Daphnia pulex: one gene and its partner. The protein of the gene in region 1 interacts with the protein of each later gene in a biochemical or structural test. Links are inferred from orthologs where the notes say so. Each region holds a gene or a part of one and is shown on either strand. Other genes may lie near its edges.

What was found.
Region 2: the proteins of baculoviral IAP repeat-containing protein 7-like (region 1) and cdc42 homolog form a complex in vitro, tested with the Homo sapiens proteins (2 studies listed by BioGRID, with this or other methods). The link is inferred for Daphnia pulex from reciprocal best matches to the Homo sapiens genes BIRC2 and CDC42.

The regions. Positions count from the first base shown.
Region 1 is NC_060023.1:3,932,867-3,937,216, reverse strand, and holds baculoviral IAP repeat-containing protein 7-like, read right to left. Parts: upstream 3,047-4,350; 5' UTR 2,972-3,046; coding exon 2,734-2,971; intron 2,676-2,733; coding exon 2,514-2,675; intron 2,453-2,513; coding exon 2,255-2,452; intron 2,198-2,254; coding exon 1,759-2,197; intron 1,690-1,758; coding exon 1,193-1,689; intron 1,120-1,192; coding exon 1,055-1,119; 3' UTR 821-1,054; downstream 1-820. Other genes in the region: uncharacterized protein LOC124198279, read right to left, coding at 80-219, 314-401; loricrin-like, read left to right, coding at 3,996-4,004, 4,064-4,145. UniProt on the Homo sapiens protein: Multi-functional protein which regulates not only caspases and apoptosis, but also modulates inflammatory signaling and immunity, mitogenic kinase signaling, and cell proliferation, as well as cell invasion and metastasis.
Region 2 is NC_060017.1:3,183,493-3,187,363, forward strand, and holds cdc42 homolog, read right to left. Parts: upstream 2,410-3,871; 5' UTR 2,255-2,409; intron 2,051-2,254; 5' UTR 2,032-2,050; coding exon 1,927-2,031; intron 1,865-1,926; coding exon 1,792-1,864; intron 1,711-1,791; coding exon 1,601-1,710; intron 1,542-1,600; coding exon 1,344-1,541; intron 1,272-1,343; coding exon 1,182-1,271; 3' UTR 718-1,181; downstream 1-717. Other genes in the region: alpha-tocopherol transfer protein-like, read left to right, coding at 1-24; nucleolar pre-ribosomal-associated protein 1-like, read left to right, coding at 3,018-3,047, 3,121-3,342, 3,412-3,871. UniProt on the Homo sapiens protein: Plasma membrane-associated small GTPase which cycles between an active GTP-bound and an inactive GDP-bound state. In active state binds to a variety of effector proteins to regulate cellular responses. Involved in epithelial cell polarization processes.

The DNA of each region.
Region 1 (4,350 bases):
ACTTGTTAAAAATTTTAAGTCTTTAAAACTTTCATCCGGTAGGATCCCACTCATTCATTCATTATAGGCTATATAGTACCAGGAATTGACTAATACAATAGAAATGAGTGCCAACAAAGTAGCAATCTGCCTCTCCATGATTGCTAGACAAGTTTCCAATGGGTAATGGCCGAGGAGGAAGAATTGCTGATCCATTGCCGAGAACGATTCTTTTAAATCCTGATTCGTTCATGAATATCATATAATTACAAATGGCATCCTGATTTCATCTTGATAATAGAGAAGTAAGTACATGCACGAATGAGGAACTTACTATTTGATTTTTCGAGGTCACCATGACTGTCCGACCTGATCGAATGAACAAGGAGGATGAAGAAAACCGCCGCCTTGGGAGAACACATTGCCTGCTGGAAATCAAATACCGTTATTCGTTAGTGGCTACGCATATCAAATTAACAAGTGGGTTACACTCAACAGTTAGAGACAGTAGGCCTAATCACATCGATAAGATATTTAGGAATGAAGGCTTGTTTTTGTCTACTGGCAATGCACACAGCGAAACGAACGCGTTCTTTGTTATTGCGAATCTTAACTTTTTTTAAAATGTTTGTTTTGTTCTGAAATTATGTTACAGACCTTACTCTAGGACGTGATGCTTGGTGAACACGCAAGACTTGACTATTGGCCATACACGCACTCGCACCTTTAACATTCAACTTCCTGTTTCGGTTGAAAAGAGACCTTCACGGTTTCACGGTTGAAGTGGCCATCGAATACCAGAAGCTTCTTGCTATCACTGAAATATTTCGAACTTGAGTTATTTGAGATTTGAATAACTTTCCGTTTATTTTTTAAACTAAAGCCGGTGGGTTTGCAAGAACATTTGCAAGAATTTAAATAATAAACAAAAATCCATACTAAATACTTATTAACAGTGGAATTTTTTAAATTTACAAGTACTAAGTTGTTCCAGAACTTAGAACTGTACTTCAGAAAATATCTATAGTTCGTCTTTGCGATCGCCAATTCATTTAGACGAATCCAAATGAACTACTTAAGACAAGAAGATGCGGACTGTTCCTTTAATATTTTTTCGACAAAGAGGACAGTGTTCGAGAGCTAAAAAAAAAAAAAAATTTATTAAAACGCTAAAATTTTAGTAACATTATTTGATCAAAATATTGTAGTTTACCTGCCGCGCATTGGACACAAGTCACAATGTGTCCACAAGGAATATATGCAATTGACACTTCCTCGTCAAGACATACTTTGCAGAGACGAGCTTCTTTCAGGCGACGAATCTCCTCTTCCAAAATTTGGGCTACAACAAATAAAATGTTGGTCAAATTAATTATTTCAAAATGTCTGAAAATTAATACATTACTTCTATCGACGGATTGTGTGGATGTTTCACATGAAGCTGATACCTCTAGGGCACAACTTTGTTCTTTTATTTTTTCAGGATTTTCTGGCTTACTAAGAGTATCCATTTCCCGATGCGAAAGCGGGGTTTCAGATCTTACTTCCGAAACCAATGGTACAATTGGTACGTTCTCATTGGTATTTGTTCTATGTTCATCGCTCGGTGTACTTAGAGAAACGGGAAGTTCTACAAGGGTATATCCAGTTGATGTTACACGTCGACGAGAAGAGGAAGGTACAGCTGACGGCCAGTCCACATCTTCATAGCTAAGAAGGGTGAAAGGAATCAATGAAATGTCTAATTCGAGTTGAGAAGTGAACACGCAAAAGACTTACTTGCCATCTTCCAACGACTGGCGATGCTCGCTGTGATGCTGAATTTCAATAGCTGCCTCAAGAAGCGAATCAACTGTGTTGAAAGGCTGCCCAGTAGTACGAATTTGGTATTTTAGGGCCTGCCTAACACGAGAAAGGTCAACGCCCATTGCTAGAACAGTCTGAACTATGGGAGTTCCTAGTAAACTTCGCAGATCAGCTTCTGAAGCCTCTCTTGGTGAGGCACGTGAATTTCCCACTGATGCCGACAGGGAAGGCTTGGCTTTAGGATGATTGGACATGGATTCTGTCGCTTCTTTAATGTACTGTTCTCCTTTCATCAGCATAACAAAGCGACACTGAGGGAACCATCGAGCGTGTTCAAGCCATGGGTCGTCTTCTGGTTCCCAGTTTCTTAAGCCCGATCCACAATGAAAACAATTGACATGATCGTTGGTCCCTAAATCCATAAATTAAATTAACAAAATAAAACCAGAATTTTTTGTGCTATTTGTACCAAGATGGAAGAAACCAGATAGAGCCATTGCTCTTGGAGTTTGCTTCAGGTGGGAAGGCCAGTTATTATAACTTTTAAGTCGTGCATCCAAAGTAGCATATGAGGAATACCGAGGTCCGCTATGTTTAGTTATGCCCAACTCTTCCAAATTTTCTCCTACTAATGCATTCAATTGCATACTGTCTGGAGATCTCAATTCTATGAAACAAAATTGTATTGTAAACCAAATAGATAATGAAGTAATTAGTGGTTGTCATACCAGTGTCTGGTGAGGCATTTGGTCTAAATTGTGAAGTAAACTGCCTGGTAGCTCCAAATCCTATGTTCAACTGCTGAGGTACAGGTAGAGAAGCAGTTCGTTCTACATTCAGATGTACAGTGGATGGATTTTCACCCAAAGGTATATTACCTACTGGTAAACCTAACCAACGGACCACAAATTAATGTCATATTGCAATTTCCGAATTTAACAGACCAACCTAATATGAAAGCGCACGACGGAAACAAACGTTGATGCTCTCTTCTTGGGTCGTCATTTATTTCCCAATCTCTAACCACTCCTCTGCAGAACGCGCATTGAACTTGATCGTCAACTCCCACATAGAAGAAACCGGCTTTAGCAAGTAAGAGGGGGCTTAAAAATGTGGCAGAGAAGTGTTCGTTAAAAGTTCGCAAACGAATATCTTCTCGTCTAAGGGTTATCCATTCTTGAGGCATGATGAAAAAAGAAAAACAGACACGACGTCAGTAATACTGACACCATTGTGTCAAAACAGAGCAATGTGACGTTGCCAAGTATTTGGACTTTGGATATTCTGTTTTTAAGAAAAATAAAACTTTGTTTTATAAATGTTAGTTTTAAGTTTTGTTAGTTTTGTTAGTTTCTTAAGTTTTTTCTTATAAATGATTAAAAAAAGAAGATTACAGAAAAAACTAGAAAATTTGAATAAAATATGAAAGCATGACCTGATAAGCTTTTCAATGATAATAAAAGTTGGACGAAATGAGCAGTCTGTCAAATTTTTTGACGGTCGTATTCTCATCAAGAAACAATAGAAACAAACAATGATAACGGCTTAAATTTTGAATGGACTATTTATTTTGATTCGGACACAAACGGTTGATTCTCGCATCTATTTACAGTGAATGTTGATGATCTATTCACTTCAAACTCAAATTTATTAAACCATTTCGGAGGGAGACGCCGACTTTCAAACAAACAAACGACGAACTGAATGTCGAAATAATTGTTTGTCGTGTTGAAGATGAGAATTCTCATTTCATCATGAACGCGCATAAAAAAGAGAAATCGAAATGTCCTTACTACACCCCATTCGAAGGCGGACAATTGAAAAAGCGAAAGTGTTTAATGCCTTAAAATCTCATTGCTTTTGCCGCTGTTGATGTGATTGTGCCGCAGCAAAGGACCGAAAAGTGCGATCTTAGGTTTTTGTTGCCCTTTTTTGAATCGAAGAAGGCCCTACTCCACTTACTTATTGAGCCTCAGTCAACAAGCGCATCGTCGCGCTCTCTCTCACCCTCCAATTCTTTACTGTCATGAAGTTTCAAACACGCAGAAAAAAAGAAAGAAAGACCAATAGAAAGATTTCAGGCAGTGTGGTCATTAGTGGCGAAGACCTGGTGAAGACGTATATAAGGAGAAAAGATTTATGACTGAAAGCAGACGCTGAACTGAGCTGAAGACTTGAACACATCTAGTATTTCTTCTCAAGTAGTAGCAATGAAGAAGGTAGGCAACTAATATACTTGTTATCAAATTTTAGTTACATAACATTAAGATATTTCCAGGTTTTACTGTGCAATTGCCTTCTCATGGCAGTCATTGCCATCAGCCAGACGGATGCATTCTTCCTAAATAAGGGCTCTTCAGGTAAATCATTTTATAGCTATTCTTGTCGTCGCTCAAAAGTTACTGTTAGTGCCTAAATTTATACCACTTGTGTGCAACATAACTCAATTTCAGTAGTCATAAACTCTTGGCTGTCCCGTTGTAGTTAAGGAGTTTTGACTCTTATTTAAATAGGTAAATTGCATAATTATTTGATCAAGGTAAAATTTTCCATGCTACAGCTTGT
Region 2 (3,871 bases), on another chromosome or scaffold:
AACATATTCGAATGTTTAAATTAAAAATAAGCTTGCTGCTTAATACGTATCAAATTCTATGAAAAAAGTAAAATTAATATATTTGGTTAAAATCACGGATTTATAATCTAAATTTTTATGCTTGCCTTGATTGATGATGATCATATCTTTTGTTGCTAAAAATTGTTGCTAAATAAATATAAATCACAATTATTTTCAACGGATTTTCCGATGTCTTTATAAATTCCGAGAAGAATTTGCATAAAAATTCAGCCGGTTATTGAAAAAAATTTACTTAAGTTGTAATATACAGTAAAAATAAAAACCTTTGGGGAGAGTAGTTAAAAAAAAATTCATTTCGCTGTCGCTGAACGACAGCTTATCAAAAACATGTGATAAAGTTCTATATTAGTTCATACCAACCAGGACTTTTAAAATTGAACTCGTTTTTCGTTTGTAGTAGATTAAAAACTGCTGATACACAAATAAATGACGTCAATGAGCAAATGAGTTGCTAACCAACCGGCAAAACTATTTATCAATGTATGATATGCGCAAGTGCCATACGCAATCTTACTTTCACATCTGTTCCAGCGATCCTAAGCGTCAAAAGTCAAATTCAATCAAATGTTTTACTTATATTAATAAAAATAGTAGCAGATTAGCCATAACATTGCGACGACGCAATCGTCCAATGTAGCGACAATTCTGAACTGACCAGCATTAATAACTGCAAGGTATAAGAGAAAATTTTATTGTATATTCTCTCCTATGCCATACAGACAAGTTTTGCGATGAGGATTACAATGATGAGGCCAAAGTTCTTTTGTTATGCTTACTTCTTTTTTTATGAACAAAGAAAGAGAGGAGAAAGGAAGGAGAGCAACAGAACAGGTATGTGTTATTTCCTAGATCGAGAAGGTAGAGGATGAATGAAAAGAAGATTGGAAGAGCGCGGCAAATGGCCTGCGAAACACGCGCACGCACACACAAAATAATCGAAACGATAATGACACGTTGAAACTGGTTAATGCAAGAACTGGCAAAAAGAACGTATCATCAGTATTTTGCTTTTCCATCTTCTCGTTGAATAATTCCATTGGTTAGTAGCAAGGTGTCATTTAAGAGTGTTTTTTTTTAGCTCTCCTTATTTTATATAAAGGAAATTTTATTTTGCCTGTTTTGCTGTCAATTTGTCTTGCTCACAGAATATTACACCTCCTCTTTTTGATAGGCTCAGGAGGTTCCAGTGCTGCCAAAATGGCTTCGTCAAAGACGTTCTTCAACCCTTTCTGCGAGAGACATAATCCAACAACCATGTTACCTATTTGCGACTATGGAGAAACAGAATTTGCTCGACTTACCTGAGTGAGGGCAGAGCACTCCACGTATTTCACTGCTTTCAGTTCGCGAGCTAGCTTCTCTCCCTGGTCGATAGTGATCACTCTTTGCTTATTTTTTGCCAACTTCTCTACAGTTGCCGCGTCGTCTCGCAGATCGATCTGCGTTCCAACTAACAAGAAAGGTGTCTTCTGACAGTGGTGTGTAATTTCAGGAACCCACTACAAAACAGGAGTGCATTAGTTTGCAGTTTTTTAATGATTGAGCTACTAATATTAACCTTTTCTTTGACATTTTCAAATGACGACGGTGAGACAACAGAAAAACACACCAAGAACACATCAGTCTGTGGATAACTAAGTGGTCTTAATCTGTCATAATCTTCTTGACCTGTTGTCATAAAATTAAGGAAATATTGTTAAGTAACAATGAAAAAAAATATATATAAATGAAGTAGAAAGGAATTCACACCTGCTGTATCAAACAACCCAAGAGTGTAAGGTTCACCTCCAATCATAACAGTGACAGCATAATTGTCAAATACCTAAAAAATGTCAAATAGCTGTTAGAAATAACATCTTGAGAGAGTATCACATGATAGCTTACTGTTGGAACATATTCTGACGGGAACTTGTTGGTGGTGTAAGAAATCAGAAGACAAGTTTTACCCACTGCACCATCCCCCACAACAACACACTTGATGGTCTGCATTGCTCCTTCCTGTCAGACTCTAAAATGAAAGGGAATAGATAACATTAATGAAATGGCTTACACAAAATTAGCAGATCACAACGAGATAAGCGGGCGAAACGAAACTATTCGACAGCCATTTTGATAGATAGGACGCTGGGCGAAAACACACACATAAAAGTGGAGTAAGACTTTGGTTTAAACCGGTCAATGAATAGAACCTCAAATCACTTTATTCACTTACGATCAATATCTTGAAATGTAGTATCAGCACAATTTGCTGAAAAATATTTAATATCCAAAAAAAAGCGGTTGTGGAAGTGACACTTGGAGAATATCAAGGCGTGAACGTCCCTGGTGCAACGTTGCCACTTGTCAGAAAATATTTCAGGACGCCACCGCTTCAACCGCAAGCAGAGCTATAGATACCTGGTCAGTTCATGGCTGTGTTGGCTTCCCTATCCCGGTTTCAGGGTAAACGTAAGCCGATTTTCAGGGGGTTTTAGGGCGGAGCCTGTCAGAAGTTGTGAAGTGGAAACTTTAAAAAGAGCCATCTAGTGATAAGACGTTGAGTTTCAAATAATACTTTCGGCGGCCATTTTTGTGTATTACGTGAAAGAAGCCTAACCATAATTTATGTAAAAATGGTTGGCAGGTGTGCTGTTCCTGGTTGTAAATCAACATATTACAAAGGAAATCAAAAAGAAAATGAGGTTACCCTGTTTGCAATTCCTAAAACTTCATTATCAAAATGGCAAGAAGTAATTCCATGTAGTAATTTGACGAGCACCTCACATATTTGCTCCCGTCATTTTAACGAAAGTGACTTTCAAACAGGGATTGAAATTTTGAACGTGTTCCATCCTTACAAACGGTGGACTCTTAATGCTGGAGCAATGCCCTGGAAACCAAAATTTTCTGTTAAATGTTAAAACCACCAAAGCTGTCCAATCATTGCATTATTTCTTGCCAAAGCTGCAGCCATCGTTCAAGATCCTTCTCACCCAATGTACCGTGCAATCAATAACTTTCTACTGGTATGTTCCTGTTAATTGATTGCAATTTCCTTCTCGTTTAAAACTTAAACGCCATTCCTTTCATTGTTTCTAGGTAAAATCGGCTATGGATGTTACCCAAGTTCCAGAATTTTTCGTCATGCTTCATAACACTGAACTACCTGAACAGAGGTCGCTTCAAAGGAGTTTTTTACTCAGCCTTCTTCAAGATGGCATCAAAAGTCGTCAGGACTATTTAGTGTGTGCTCGAAGAAGAGTCTTTCCAATCCTTCTCTCCTTGCAGCCATCCAATCTATTGTCCGACAAAACTGATAAGGTTATTTTTTTAGTAATTGAATTTTAGTTTGAGATTTCATCGAGACATTTTTCTTTGTTTGATTTACAGCGGCTCATACTTGAAGTCGTACAATCTTCACTTCAGAATTCAATCATTACCTATGACTTGATTCAACATCGTGGCCTTATCATGTGGCTTGACAGCCTCTTGCTGACCGACACCGTTGCAGATGAAGCTAGTCAGATGGTGTCGGTGGTGACGACAATGTGGGACACGCTCTACACTCACATGCTGAAGAAGGGAGAGTCGAAAGAAAAGGACGACGAAGAAGCTATTGCAAAACTTGAACAGGAGGTCGAAATGATGGAAGCCGAAGACGAAGATACCGCCGACAAAACCACTAACAAACCCAAGATGCAGAATGCTAAAATCAGTAGCAGAAAACCTATTTGGAATTTACTTCCTATGCAGCAACAAGTTATTGCTCCCTGGATCATGTGTGAGCTAATGCAGTTGATGGTCAATTTGTGGCATGTACTCTATGAAGCTGAGCCAAACTATGCTACGT